Linked DNA regions of Arabidopsis thaliana. Changing the gene in region 1 together with any one later gene gives a genetic interaction. Each region holds a gene or a part of one and is shown on either strand. Other genes may lie near its edges.

Evidence for each region.
Region 2: of AT4G02030 (region 1) and CUC2, changing one suppresses a phenotype caused by changing the other (phenotypic suppression), as found in Arabidopsis thaliana (one study listed by BioGRID).

Annotation. Positions count from the first base shown.
Region 1 is NC_003075.7:890,356-898,546, forward strand, and holds AT4G02030 (Vps51/Vps67 family (components of vesicular transport) protein), read left to right. Parts: upstream 1-1,820; 5' UTR 1,821-1,906; coding exon 1,907-2,077; intron 2,078-2,181; coding exon 2,182-2,209; intron 2,210-2,411; coding exon 2,412-2,458; intron 2,459-2,542; coding exon 2,543-2,682; intron 2,683-2,807; coding exon 2,808-2,862; intron 2,863-2,950; coding exon 2,951-3,058; intron 3,059-3,165; coding exon 3,166-3,264; intron 3,265-3,394; coding exon 3,395-3,472; intron 3,473-3,626; coding exon 3,627-3,704; intron 3,705-3,842; coding exon 3,843-3,995; intron 3,996-4,235; coding exon 4,236-4,336; intron 4,337-4,425; coding exon 4,426-4,493; intron 4,494-4,616; coding exon 4,617-4,690; intron 4,691-4,774; coding exon 4,775-4,841; intron 4,842-5,035; coding exon 5,036-5,151; intron 5,152-5,248; coding exon 5,249-5,503; intron 5,504-5,583; coding exon 5,584-5,700; intron 5,701-5,776; coding exon 5,777-5,848; intron 5,849-5,928; coding exon 5,929-5,979; intron 5,980-6,064; and 7 more. Other genes in the region: SWN (SET domain-containing protein), read left to right, coding at 1-116, 210-297, 388-435, 515-643, 723-800, 1,197-1,388; AT4G02040 (uncharacterized protein), read left to right, coding at 7,208-7,666; STP7 (sugar transporter protein 7), read right to left, coding at 8,032-8,191. UniProt on the Arabidopsis thaliana protein: Acts as a component of the GARP complex that is involved in retrograde transport from early and late endosomes to the trans-Golgi network (TGN).
Region 2 is NC_003076.8:21,900,960-21,905,975, forward strand, and holds CUC2 (NAC (No Apical Meristem) domain transcriptional regulator superfamily protein), read right to left. Parts: upstream 2,896-5,016; 5' UTR 2,837-2,895; coding exon 2,647-2,836; intron 2,567-2,646; coding exon 2,283-2,566; intron 1,661-2,282; coding exon 1,007-1,660; 3' UTR 745-1,006; downstream 1-744.

The sequences.
Region 1 (8,191 bases):
AAAAATCGTTTCCGAGGATGTCATTGTGCAAAGAGTCAATGCAGAAGTAGGCAGTGTCCCTGCTTTGCTGCTGGCAGAGAATGTGATCCAGATGTTTGCAGAAATTGCTGGGTTAGGTAGTCATTTTAAATCTAGATCTCTTGATGTGCCATATACAATCAAATCTACTATTTGATGAGTAACTTAAGATGCCTTGCTTATTCACTCAGTTGTGGAGATGGTTCTCTCGGTGAAGCACCAAGACGCGGAGAAGGGCAATGCGGAAACATGAGACTTCTCCTGAGGCAACAACAGAGGGTATAATACTGTCATCAAATCATGTATTTACTAAAAATAAAATGCATTCATTGTTGATAAATCTAGTTTCTCATGTGCTATATTTACCAGATCCTATTGGGAAAGTCTGATGTTGCTGGATGGGGTGCTTTTCTAAAGGTAAAGCATGTGAATATCTTCCTCATTAACTTCTGTTTCATACCTCTTGTATGTAATCTGAACCTCATCTGATCATCAGAACTCGGTCAGCAAAAATGAATACCTTGGAGAATACACCGGTGAATTGATCTCACACCATGAGGCGGATAAGCGTGGGAAAATATATGACCGGGCAAATTCGTCCTTCCTCTTTGACTTGAATGATCAGGTGACCAAATCTCTCACCCTTCTTTCTGATAGTTTCCTCTTGAATTTCGCATATGTCAGTAAGCTTTTGATATTTGCAGTACGTCCTCGATGCTCAACGCAAAGGTGACAAGCTGAAATTTGCCAATCACTCAGCTAAACCCAATTGCTACGCTAAGGTACTAAATGCTTCTCTCTCATATCCATTTTGGTATGAAAAAACCACATGATCGGTTAGTAATTATACCTTCTTTCTCACCTCTAGCCACTCAAAAGTTCCATTTAGAAGGAGGACTAGGATTATAACATTTTGTAGAAACTAATCGCAATTAGCACTATAGAAAACAGATGATCAAATCTAGCTTTGTAGGTTATGATCAAAACACACTTGTTTCTACAATCTTTATGATTGTAATGTGTAAAGTAACATGTGTATATCATCTGCTAGATTTATTCAACCCTTTTCGAAAGGTGTTAATTATTTACAAAAAAGAGCGATTTTCAGTCTATTGTCGTAGTAACCATGGTCTCATCGCTTCCCGCATAAGTACGGTGTCTTTTTCTGTGTGGTGTAGGTGATGTTTGTAGCAGGAGATCACAGGGTCGGGATTTTTGCAAACGAACGAATAGAAGCTAGCGAAGAGCTTTTCTATGACTATAGATATGGACCAGACCAAGCACCAGTGTGGGCTCGCAAACCTGAAGGCTCCAAGAAAGATGATTCAGCCATTACTCATCGTAGAGCCAGAAAGCACCAATCTCATTGATGATTACTGGCTAAGAGAAGTAACTTTTATAAAAATAACTTATAGAGTTGTGAGAGATGATATTTGAAGTTTGATAACTTAAGCTTGTCTTTATTAATTAATTATTATAGAGTTGAGATTTTATTTTATTTTGACATCGAGTTTGGACTTTGTATAGGTGATAAAACAATTTATGAATTATTGGGGTCAATAAGTAAAAATGTATCATTTCGAAAAATAGTTTCAAATTTATGGATTTTTGAACAGCTAAAGCCAATCTATGTACTTTTCAACGAATAAAACTGATTTAAAATAAGTGAACGAACCAATCACACTAAACCAGTGCCTAATCTCATAAAAAGTAATCCGACTGCTAAACCGTATTCCGGTTCGAATCGGATACGGATCCGTTTCCCAGTTGATTAGTCGGATCCAGTTTCTTCTTGCTTTTTCAATTCACATTACGAATCTCCGACGCCAAAATTCTGCTTCCGGTAACAGATATTTTCGTCGTCGAGAAGAAGCAGGAGTTTAGAAAAATGGCGACGGAGGCAGCTCCGATGGACGAAAAGGCGAAGAGAATGAGAGATCTATTGTCGAGCTTCTACGCACCGGATCCTTCAATCTCGACGAGTGGTTCCTCCATCAACGCCTCTTTCGATAACATCAACAGCACTTCCTTTGATGCTGATCAGTACATGGATCTCATGGTTAGTCTTCGTTTCTTGTCAGAATATTCGTGAATCGTCAACACAAGCGTCAATAGCTTGTATATTGTATCAAATTATTGAGTATTTCGATTCACTGAAGTTAGATTCGGCTCTTTGATCTTGGTCTAAGTGGTTAGTTCGAAATTTAGAATATGTTTAGATCCGACTGTTATCTTTTGGAGCAGGAATATAGTTGCTAGTTTTGAATTCTACCCTTCGGATGAAGTTTACAGTGCAAGGTTCTTGTAGAGGTCTCTTGATCAATGTGGTCTGGTTTGGTTATTTTCTATGCAAACTTATGAGAATTCTGCAAATTTAGTTGTTCTTATCAAAGATCTTCCTGCAATGGTTGATAGTTCGGAACTAAATTGGGTTTATGAGGTTTGTGTTAAGTGTGGTGACAGTAGTGCTAGCGATCTGATTGAGATATATGCCACAGTCTGGTGATTTTATTGGCTTGTGCAGATCAAAAAGTCGAATTTGGAGGTGCTTCTGCAAAGACATGTTCAAATGGCTGCTGAGATTAAAAATCTCGACACAGACTTGCAAATGCTAGTCTATGAAAATTACAACAAGTTTATCAGTGCAACAGATACAATCAAAAGGTACTTGTAATGGTTCATGGATCGTTTCAGGTGTTAAGTGTGTCATTTAACACTTTTCTCTATATGATTTGATTTCACCACTCGGTAGTATATTAAATTCAAAATGTTGCTTCTTTACCTGGTAGGATGAAGAGTAATATTTTCGGGATGGAAGGCAATATGGACCAGCTTCTTCAGAAGGTGTTTTGAACACATATGATACACGTAGTTTTGGATTTTTTTATGGGAACTTCTCACTCATAGTATATCTCCCAACTGACTCATGCAGATAATGTCAGTACAATCAAAGAGTGATGGGGTCAACACTTCTCTTTTCGAAAAGAGAGAACATATAGAGAAACTGCACCGGACTCGTAATCTTCTTCGTAAAGTTCAGGTATGTAATGAGTCATTTTTGCTAGCTTATATATCTGCTGTGTTGTCACCTGATCATTATAGCAATAATATGAATTTACTCAAATTAATTTTTGTGAGAAAGAGCAGTTCATCTATGATTTACCTGCAAGACTGCAAAAATGTATCAAGTCAGAAGCCTATGGCGATGCTGTCAGGTTCTATACTGGAGCAATGCCAATTCTCAAGGTTTACATCTGTCCTCGGATAACTTTTCCATTTTTTTGTAGTATTCTTTTCATGTTACTGGGGCATTTAACATTCTGAAGATATATATGTGGAGATATGTTTAAAAATATGAATTTCTCTTTCTGTTCAGGTATATGGCGATACATCATTCCAAGACTGCAGGCGAGCTTCCGAAGAAGCTATAGAAATTATCATAAAGAACTTGCAGGTATACCTTTTGGTCCTAGTAGTCTATACTTGTCTGGATTAATAAAAATCTACATACAATACTGGCTTATCAACCATATAAACAAATAACTGGTCTTTATGTTTTGTGTTTGTTATTTCTTGATGCAAGAAACCTATTTTGGCTTGTTTGACAGACGAAGCTATTTTCAGATTCAGAATCCATACAGGCGAGAGCTGAAGCTGCAGTGCTTCTTAAGCAGTTAGATGTCCCTGTCAGTTCTTTCTCTTAGCTCAATTATCTGTGACTTGTTTAAGTTGTTATAGAGCTACCTAGAACGTTCGTAATGTTCATCCTTGTACAACTGGTTTATCACTGGTTGTGACATAAATTTGGATTGCACATCCTGCAGGTTGATAGCTTAAAGGCTAAACTGTTGGAAAAACTGGAACAGTCTCTTGATGGTCTTCAAATAAAGCCTGAGGAGGCAAGTACACTTGTAGAGGACGATGATTCATCTAACGATACAGAAAGCAATGACCAACATCCTGCTAAAATTCATGAGGTAAACACGGACTATGTCGCTTCCTTATCCTTTGTGTTTTTGATGAATGCAAGTTGGAACACAGTCAAACTGACTGTATCTATTAAGCACTTTGAATATCCGCAGCTGCTTTACAGGAGATTTTCTCATTAGCCACCATATTGAGATCTCTTTTCTTTTATTTCATTTGGTTTATCAGACTTGACGAGCTTTTTATTTGCACTTTTGATATTTTAATGGTTGTCCCCTTTTTTCTGATAGGATGCCGTACGTGGATTTTCTGAGGCCATACGTGCTTATCGAGAAATATTCCCCGACTCAGAAGAAAGACTTTTCAAACTCGCGAGAGCCTTAACAGCAATGTAACGCACTTTTCTTTGATATATTGATCCATAAATCGAGACTTTGTTTGTGTCTGACCTGCAGAATTTCTAACACTTATGGTTGTTAGGCACTTTGAGTACATGGAGCTATATATAAAAAAACGGGTTTCTGCAGCAGATTTTCTAGGAATTTTTCGTGAGTACAGTGAATTTCCTCATGCCCTTGTCTCTTTTTTATGTTGCTTTCATTTCTTCTGAAAGCTTTGGTTAAATCAGTCTAATGAACATATATACCCTGTCTGATTTCTGTTGGACGTAGGAATTGTATGGGAAGATGTGGTACTTATGGACGAGGTGCTACCTGAGGCTGCACTCTCTGATTTATCTGCAGAGGTTGACCCTCATTTATGTTGTGTGGTTCTATTTTTCGTTATAATGTGTAGAACTATATATGATTACTAGCACTCCTCATTTCAGGCTGCCCAGGTTACTCTTAAGCAATTTGTTGCGAGAATGTTTTCTCATCTTCAACAGGATATATCAGGTTCGCTGTTTTCTAATTTCTACTGGATTCAGAATTTCTTAGTGAGGGAAAAGAGAGAATGAGTGTAGCTTCACTTTTCATAAGAACTTCTGTGAAATGGCCTTTAAGTAATTTGAAGAGTAGATTAATCTCTTCGTGAAGTTTTAGTCTTCAAATGAAATAGAATTATAATGAGGTATATATATACATGGCAGATACTCTCTTGAAATTCGATATCAACCAAAAGGAAGCAGTTGAAGGGGAACTCTTGAAGGTTGTCCTGGAAGCTAGCCAAAAAGCAGTGCTACAAGGCACCACAAATATATTTCAGGCACATTCCTTCTTCTGTTATTTATTATATTTTGGCTGTTATATCATCTGTATGAATTCCATGCTCAAAAACGCTTATATTCGTTCTATCACTTCAGGACTTCCGTCAGCTTCTTGATGAAAAAACTGGAATATTTATAAAGATGAAGGATTTAATCAGTGGTTGGATTCAGAAAGGATCTCAAGACTTCTTCAGGTCACTAGAAGCTCAATTTCTAGTGCTTTCTGGAAAAACTAGCTCATCAAACGATATAGAGGGAAAATCGAGTGACAAAATTCATGCTGGTCTCATTCTTGTATTGGCGCAGCTCTCTGTCTTCATCGAACAAAAGGTCATCCCGAGAGTTACTGAGGTGAGATTCTTACAAGTAGTTTTGCATAAAGTTTAAATCAATTGGTAGCTGGTTTTGAGAAATTTCATATGCTTATTCAGGAAATAGCTGCTTCCTTCTCTGGTGGAAATTCCCAAGCCTTTGAGAATGGACCTGCTTTTATTCCTGGAGAACTTTGCCGGGTCTTCCACGCAGCCAGCGAGAAACTTCTCCAGCATGTATGAATGAAACTCCAAAACTTGAGGTCGTTTACCAAAACTTAACATCAACTAACTAAATCATTTCATATTTCAGTACATAGACACAAGAACACAGAAGGTATCAGTTTTACTGAGAAAAAGGTTCAAGACACCTAACTGGGTTAAGGTATTGCTGTTGTGGTGTGGCTAATCTTCTTAGAGAAGCATTTTACCAGTCATTGTTTTTTAATTCCAAATATTATGCAGCACAAGGAGCCACGAGAGGTTCACATGTATGTCGATATGTTTCTTCACGAGGTTTGACAACTCTTCTCCTCTTAACCTGGAAATTATCTAAAGAGCATGCAATAAATCATATTTGTTTGGATTTTCTACTTCGCAGTTAGAAGAAGTTGGTAAAGAAGTGAAACAAGTTTTACCTCAAGGGACTTTCCGTAAGCACAAAAGAACAGACAGCAACGGAAGTAACACTACAACCTCATCACGAAGCAATACCCTCCATAATGATAAGATGGCACGGTCAAATTCACAAAGAGCTCGTAGTCAGCTTTTCGAGACACATCTTGCAAAACTGTTCAAGCAAAAAGTAGAAATATTCACCAAGGTTGAATTTACCCAGGTAAAAACGAAAGAGGTTCCCTTATAGTTATATCAAACGCGCACTGCCACACGCTCATCATCTCCTGATCTCTTTTCGTGCTAAATATTTGCAGGAATCCGTTGTTACAACAACAGTAAAACTTTGTCTGAAGAGTTTGCAAGAATATGTCCGTCTCCAAACGTTTAACCGGAGCGGGTTCCAGCAGATTCAGCTAGACATTCAGTTCTTAAAAGCTCCATTGAAGGAAGCAGTTGAGGACGAAGCTGCAATAGACTTCTTGCTCGACGAGGTGGTTACACCTAAAGCTCCTTCCTTTACTTTTCTTCTTATTACCATCAAGCAGAGGCTCTATGTCTATCTTTTGCAACTGACCATTGATTCTCCGACCATGATGTGTGTTTGTATTGACAGGTGATCGTTGCGGCTTCGGAGAGATGTCTTGATGTGATTCCATTGGAGCCACCGATCTTGGACAAACTCATACAAGCTAAACTCGCTAAATCAAAGGAGCACAACAACAACACAGTTTCTTCTTAAAAGTTTTCATAACTCAAACAAAGTATACATGATTTTTGCCAATTTATTTCCGCTTCTTGTTATCATCCGTAGTGTAAATCAAAACCATTGAATTGTACTCTCTAGCATTGAACCAGTAAAATCTACACCGTAACTTCTTCTTTACTTTTGTGAACAAATCTTTGAATTTTTTTTTTTAGCAACATGCAATTTGACTTAAAAGATATGTAAAACCCTAAAACTAAACTACATAAATTCCTAATTACACTAAAACCCTAAAATTGAGTGCCGAAAAAATAGAAAAAATATTCATAGTCACGGCCTCACGGGTCTCTCTATTATATAAGAACTCCTTGAGACTTAAAAAAAATCTCACATTCCCTCTCTCTAATCAAAAAGCTAAAAGCAATGGCCACTGCGATGTCTTACTCTTCTCAAAACCATCGATTCGAGCACCAAACCCTAATCCACCGTAACCCTAAGCCTCGTCTTTGCCGCAACTCTTCAACAGCTCCTCGCCGACGCAAGCAAAGCCCTACGGTTGTTAAATCTCCGGCGGCGAATCCAAATCTTGTAATGGAACAAGTCAAGATCCTCAAACGCGGTGAGACATTGAGCGCGTTTAATAAGAACAAGGAAAACATTAGCTCCGACGATACAAGACGACCTGTTTTGAAGATGATAAAAGATGTTGATCTGATTGTATCGGCTACTAATAGAATTGGACCTGAACCAGAGATTTTGATGAAACAGATCGGAGCTTTGGGATTGCAGAGCTTCGCCGGAGCTAATTGCTCTCTTTCGCCGCCTCCAAGCTGTGTTCCAATTCCATGTTTCTTAGGGACGAAGAACAATCTCCTTGTTTAGATCATCTGATTTGGGGAAAACAAAAACCCTAAAATCGAAACCGTCTTTTGATGGTCTCGTAAGAGCAGATGTGTGAAGAAATCCTGAGATAGAGAGTAAACAAATCTCTTTGTTTATCTCAAAGAAGAAGAAGAAGATGGAGAATGTGATCACAAAACGCCAATTGCAACCAAAATCTTTACTCTGTAATCGAGTGTTTTGGTGTAACAGTCACTGTGACTATTTTCAATCGCTTTTTTTTAGTTTTGTTTCGGATTTTGAAGTTTGTAGTTGTCACTTTCACATGGGATTCAAATCTCTCCTTATGCAATAAAAAACCTTATAGTAATACAAACATAAGTTTCTTGAATCAGTTTATATTCTCTTTAAACAGATACATTCTTGCTCTCATCTTCAAGATTTGTTGCATCAGGTAATACTTTTTTCCAGAACCAATGTTTACTCCATAAGAGTGTCATCTCTTCTATTGGAACTCCTTTGGTTTCAGGCAACAGGAAATACACAAAGATAGTCATTACTGTCACC
Region 2 (5,016 bases), on another chromosome or scaffold:
ACAGAGGTATTATTAATTATGTCTCTTTCTAAAAATAGAAATGTGAAAGCCATCCTTCTGAAAGTGAGGTGGACTGTTGTACAAGATCTGAATTTGGGAGTGGTCCGTTCGTCAGCATGCGCATCATATTCATCATCCCCGTTTCAAAATCCTTAATTTCAAAACTACTTCTTTTCTTTGGTGGGTTTACAATGCATTAAGTTAATCAAAATTAGTATGTAAATTATTTTCAGTAACTACCATGTACATGCATGTTATCTTAATCAATTAAGCCAAACGCAAATTGTTGTGTTTAGTCTCATATGTGTACGATTGTAGCAAGAAGATACACCTAACTGAAAATGGTGTTCATAGACTGATTAATCCACTGAATTATGAGTACTTACTTTAAAAGCATGAAACTTTCTTGAAATATTTTGGCAGTTACACATGTCAACCTTAATTAGCTAGAATTAATAAACAAAAACTACATGCATGTTTTACATTTGAGCATCTTCAATTGATGAAGAAATTAAATAATTAGCCATGTTATGTAATTACGGAAATCATCTAACCGAAGATTCGGAACGGTTGAATTCCGGAAACATATATATAACCGCCATATCAAATTGTATTAACAAGAAGAAAACTAAGGTATCTAGAAGCGACCGAAGAAATTCATTTTGTCGGTAATATACTGTATGATTGTATTGATAACCAAGGACACATGTCAAATATCATGAGAAATATAAAACATGAAAAAGCCATGAAATTAACATAATGTCAAACATTACAAAAACGAGCATAGCTTATACATATGCACGTTCATAGTCTAGAAAACATTTTCCTTGCATATTACCTCCTAATTAACACAACCGGATAAACTTAAAACTAGAGAATTAAGCGGAACATCAAGCTAAGTGCAATATTAAGCTCCTCGGTACACACATTTCATAATACCATAATCATCCTAGAAATACATAAATAAAACCCTAACGGGAACAATTATAAGTCACCTCTTTTGTGATCAGTAGTTCCAAATACAGTCAAGTCCAGCATGAAGCACACCGACCTTTGACTCATTCTCTTCGGCAGTCGCCGGTAGCCAGTAATTCATCCCGGAGACGCCTCCGCCGCCTTGGAAAGAAGGCAGATTAACGGCGGAGGTCATAGTCGATGCAGAAGACGATCCAAAGTAAGGAAATTGATTGAAGTTTTCTTGGAACGATCTGAAGTTAGATTGAGTCGAGACGTTTCTAGAAACGAAACGAGGAAAAGGGTCAAAGTCAAACCCTAGCGGCGGTGGAAGACGGCTGAATGAGTTAACGTCTAAGCCCAAGGCCGTAGTAGTAGTAGGGACAGTGGAGAAACAGGACACGTGCTCGGTTATTGCGCTGGCTGTGACGGTTGTGTTGGTGCTACGGCTGTCGTAGGAGCAACTGCTGTCGGTGTAGCCGAGGGTAGTGGTCGGATCCAGGAGAGGTGGGAGTGAGACGGAGGAAGGAGAGCTTGGTTGTTCTTGATAGTTTCTTGAGATTGTTGAGGGTACTTTCGTCTTTTTAGATGGACCAGTACCGCTGCTTACGCTCACAGTTGCTCCTCCTCCTCCTCCTCCTTCGGAGACGGCTCCGGTGCTAGCTAAAGTGGTTTTCTGGAAAACCCTAGAGATCACCCATTCATCCTGAAGGAATAAATTAGAGTTTTGAAAAGTCAAATATTTTATATAATATATGTTTGATGAGAAAGTCAATGTTAGATCTTGGAAATAAAAGAGAGTGAAGATTAAGAAAAACCATAGAGTAAAAGCGTGCACAGAGGGAATGTACATTGGACACTACAAGTCTACAATGGATATGGAACACTAATTAAGTAAAATTAATTTAATTAAATTTCTTTTTAATATATCTAGGTCAGAAAAAAATCCTGAAGATTTGCATTGGTTCTGGTTTTTTGCATTAAGCTTTCCAAAAGTAGGATGTATTAATATTTTATTTTATCAGAGCTATTGAATGTTTTCTTACTTTAGGAAAACACCATTATGATTGAAATCCCAATACATAAAAACAGCAGATCTTTTCTATTTCATGTTCCATAATGCTCTCAGATAACCACAGTAAAGAACCATGCCTTTTCAGCCATCAAAATTAAATGCAATAAAGCAAAAGAGAAAAAAATCAACGTCACCGACTATGTCACACTCTCGAATTTTTTTTCCAAATAATAGATTGTAAATTTATTAATCAAAGAAAATTAAGGCTTTACTTTATCAACAAAATAACTAATGAAAGGTTAAATCGAAGTACCTTGGAGCTTCTTGAGATGAAATGGTAAGAGAATTTGCCTTCAAGACGATATTCATGCATAACCCAATTACTCTTCTCTCCTTTCGGAGCTCTTCCTTTGTAAAAGACAAGAGTCTTCTTCATCCCAACAAGTGCACAAGTCTTTGAACTAAAGATCTCTCTGTCTTTTCCGGTAGCTTTCCAGTAACCAGCCTCAGTTGCTCTGTTAGTTCTCAGTCCCGTCGGATACTTCCGGTCACGGAGGCTAAAGAAGTACCATTCTTTCTCTCCCATCTTAGCTCTCCCTAAGTAACATTGAGAGTAAAGATTTCAGAAACCTTAATTACAAAAGAACTACAAGTAAGTTAGTTTTGTATTTTCTTACCGGGAAGTTGCCAAGGCTCACACTTGTTGAGATCAACTTCTGCGATGGCACGGCTTGAGAAGCAACCGTCGAGGACTTTGCGGAGAAGGTAATGAGTGATGAGCTCTTCGTCCGTGGGATGAAACCTGAAACCCGGTGGAAGATATTGGCTGTCTCCGCCATGGTCGTAGTGGTAATACGGAATGTCCATTAAGAAGAAAGATCTAAAGCTTTTGTTTGAGAGAGAAAAAACCCTAAGGAGACTCAAATGTTTTGAAGAAGAAGATAAATAGGTTAATATAATGGATGGTTCTTGAGTAAGGGGCGTGGTAATAATGTGGATGGATATTATTTTTTGGTTTTATTAGTTTATTTTTTTTATACATTGGGATTTGGTAAATCTAAAACGGCGAAATAGAGGGAAGCTTTTTTTTTGGGGTAGTGAAAGTAAAATAATTATTAAAAGATTAAAAACCAGAAAGTCGTAGAGAAGATAATTATAAATTTAGTAATAATAAAAAGACAGGTACGTCTACTCTTTCATAGGAATCTGTGGTTTTCTCTGCCTTGTCTTGTAGTAAAGAGAGCAAAGCCAAAGCAGATTATTACATCACATTTTTGAGTTTATCGATATATTTTTTACATAACTCGAGATTGTTTTAAAATTACAAAATTAAAATTAATCATGAAGTGTCCGTATTTCTTTGAATTAAATTATTAAAGAAACGAGGAATGGGCTCTTGTTTCTATCTGAGTATGCGTGCGTGCATGAGAAAAAGTGCAGTGGTATTCTCTGTCAGTGATGAAAATAAAAGAGAGGATTCAGATTGTATCTTTTTTTTTATCTACGAACTTGAAATTTCTTTTTATTATTGTGTTTGGAAATTGGGATACATAATAATTTATTATACGTACAATGACTAATCGAAACAATAGTAGTATAGTGAGGGATACATTATTAGACATATACACTAGTTATTTGGAAAGTGAAGAGTTTCAATTTTTATTTTTAATAGAAAAATGGATATTATATCGATAAGGCTGTTTCAAATCTTGGAGTGTCAGCACAGTACATGATTAATTTATCAAAAACTTTGACAGAGACTTCGTTACTACACGCCACCACCTTCTACACCTTTCACCTCTCTTTTTTTTTTCCTTGATTTTCTTTTCGTTTTTGTTTCATCTTTTCCATTTTCCAATTTTTTACTCCTGTGATGGATTTTTAGTTACTTTTCATTGCTTCATATTCATTTGTAAGACTCAGCAAAAGAAAATTAAATTTCATTATTTTCAAGCAACGAGATTTATGATGTAAGATTGAAAAATAATTTAATCAAGAAGTTACAGGTTGCAAATCAGAGAAGATATTTATGCTGCCTGGTTTTGTAGTTTTCTTAATTACTATCTCAAGTCTGTTTTTTCTCCTTTTTTATATAAATTAATTATGGCTCATCAAATAACTAATTATCAATTATGTTGATTGTTACAGGTCCACCAAAATGACATGACTAAACGTAAATTTCACAATTGTTAATTTATTTCTGTTACTTCCAATATTTTGATTATTATCTCATACAAATTATTTATTTTAGTGGAACTTCAATTTTAGCCCTATTTGACATGACTTGTTTTTTAAAATTTCCCACCCAAAAATGTACTAAAGAATAAACTAAAGAATAAAAGACACACCCAAAAATGTAAAGACCTTAAGATCAAACTAAAAAGATAGTGAGTTGATCAATTTCTACTAATAAATTAACTACAGACTTATTGACTATTTTAACCGTATGAAAAAATTGTATAAACTTAAATCAAAATAACTCTCCCCTTCGAGTATTCATATCTACGGACTTATCATGTGTGTAACTATTAGTTAAAAAAAAGAAGATGTTATAAAGTATGCAAAGTAATAATTATACATTAAAAATCATTATCAGAGACATGCTAAGACTATTACACCTGCTACTACTGTTTAATAGTAGTATTTATTACTATCTAGAAATTGTAGGTCTATCTATACGTCTTTTTAGACATATCTGCATATGACAGTAACTAAATCTAATTAATAAGATCCTTTCCTGTCTTAATTACAGATAGTTGAAGTAAAAGATTATCACCAAGCTATGAACCGAAGCAATAACATTATATAATTGTAATTACTTGAATTTATGAAGTTTTGAATACATTCTAGTGTGCCAAAGTGTTAATTGTCTTAAACTGAAAACAATGGCCAAACAGATTACAATGTTGATATTGACCTTGCCAAATTTTAGAAATTTGCTTTACTTTATCTTAATTTAAACATATATTTTTCACGGTTAATTTGTTTGTTTGCTTAGCATTTTTTTCATAACGAGAAAAATATTCTTATGACTTTAAATATCTAAT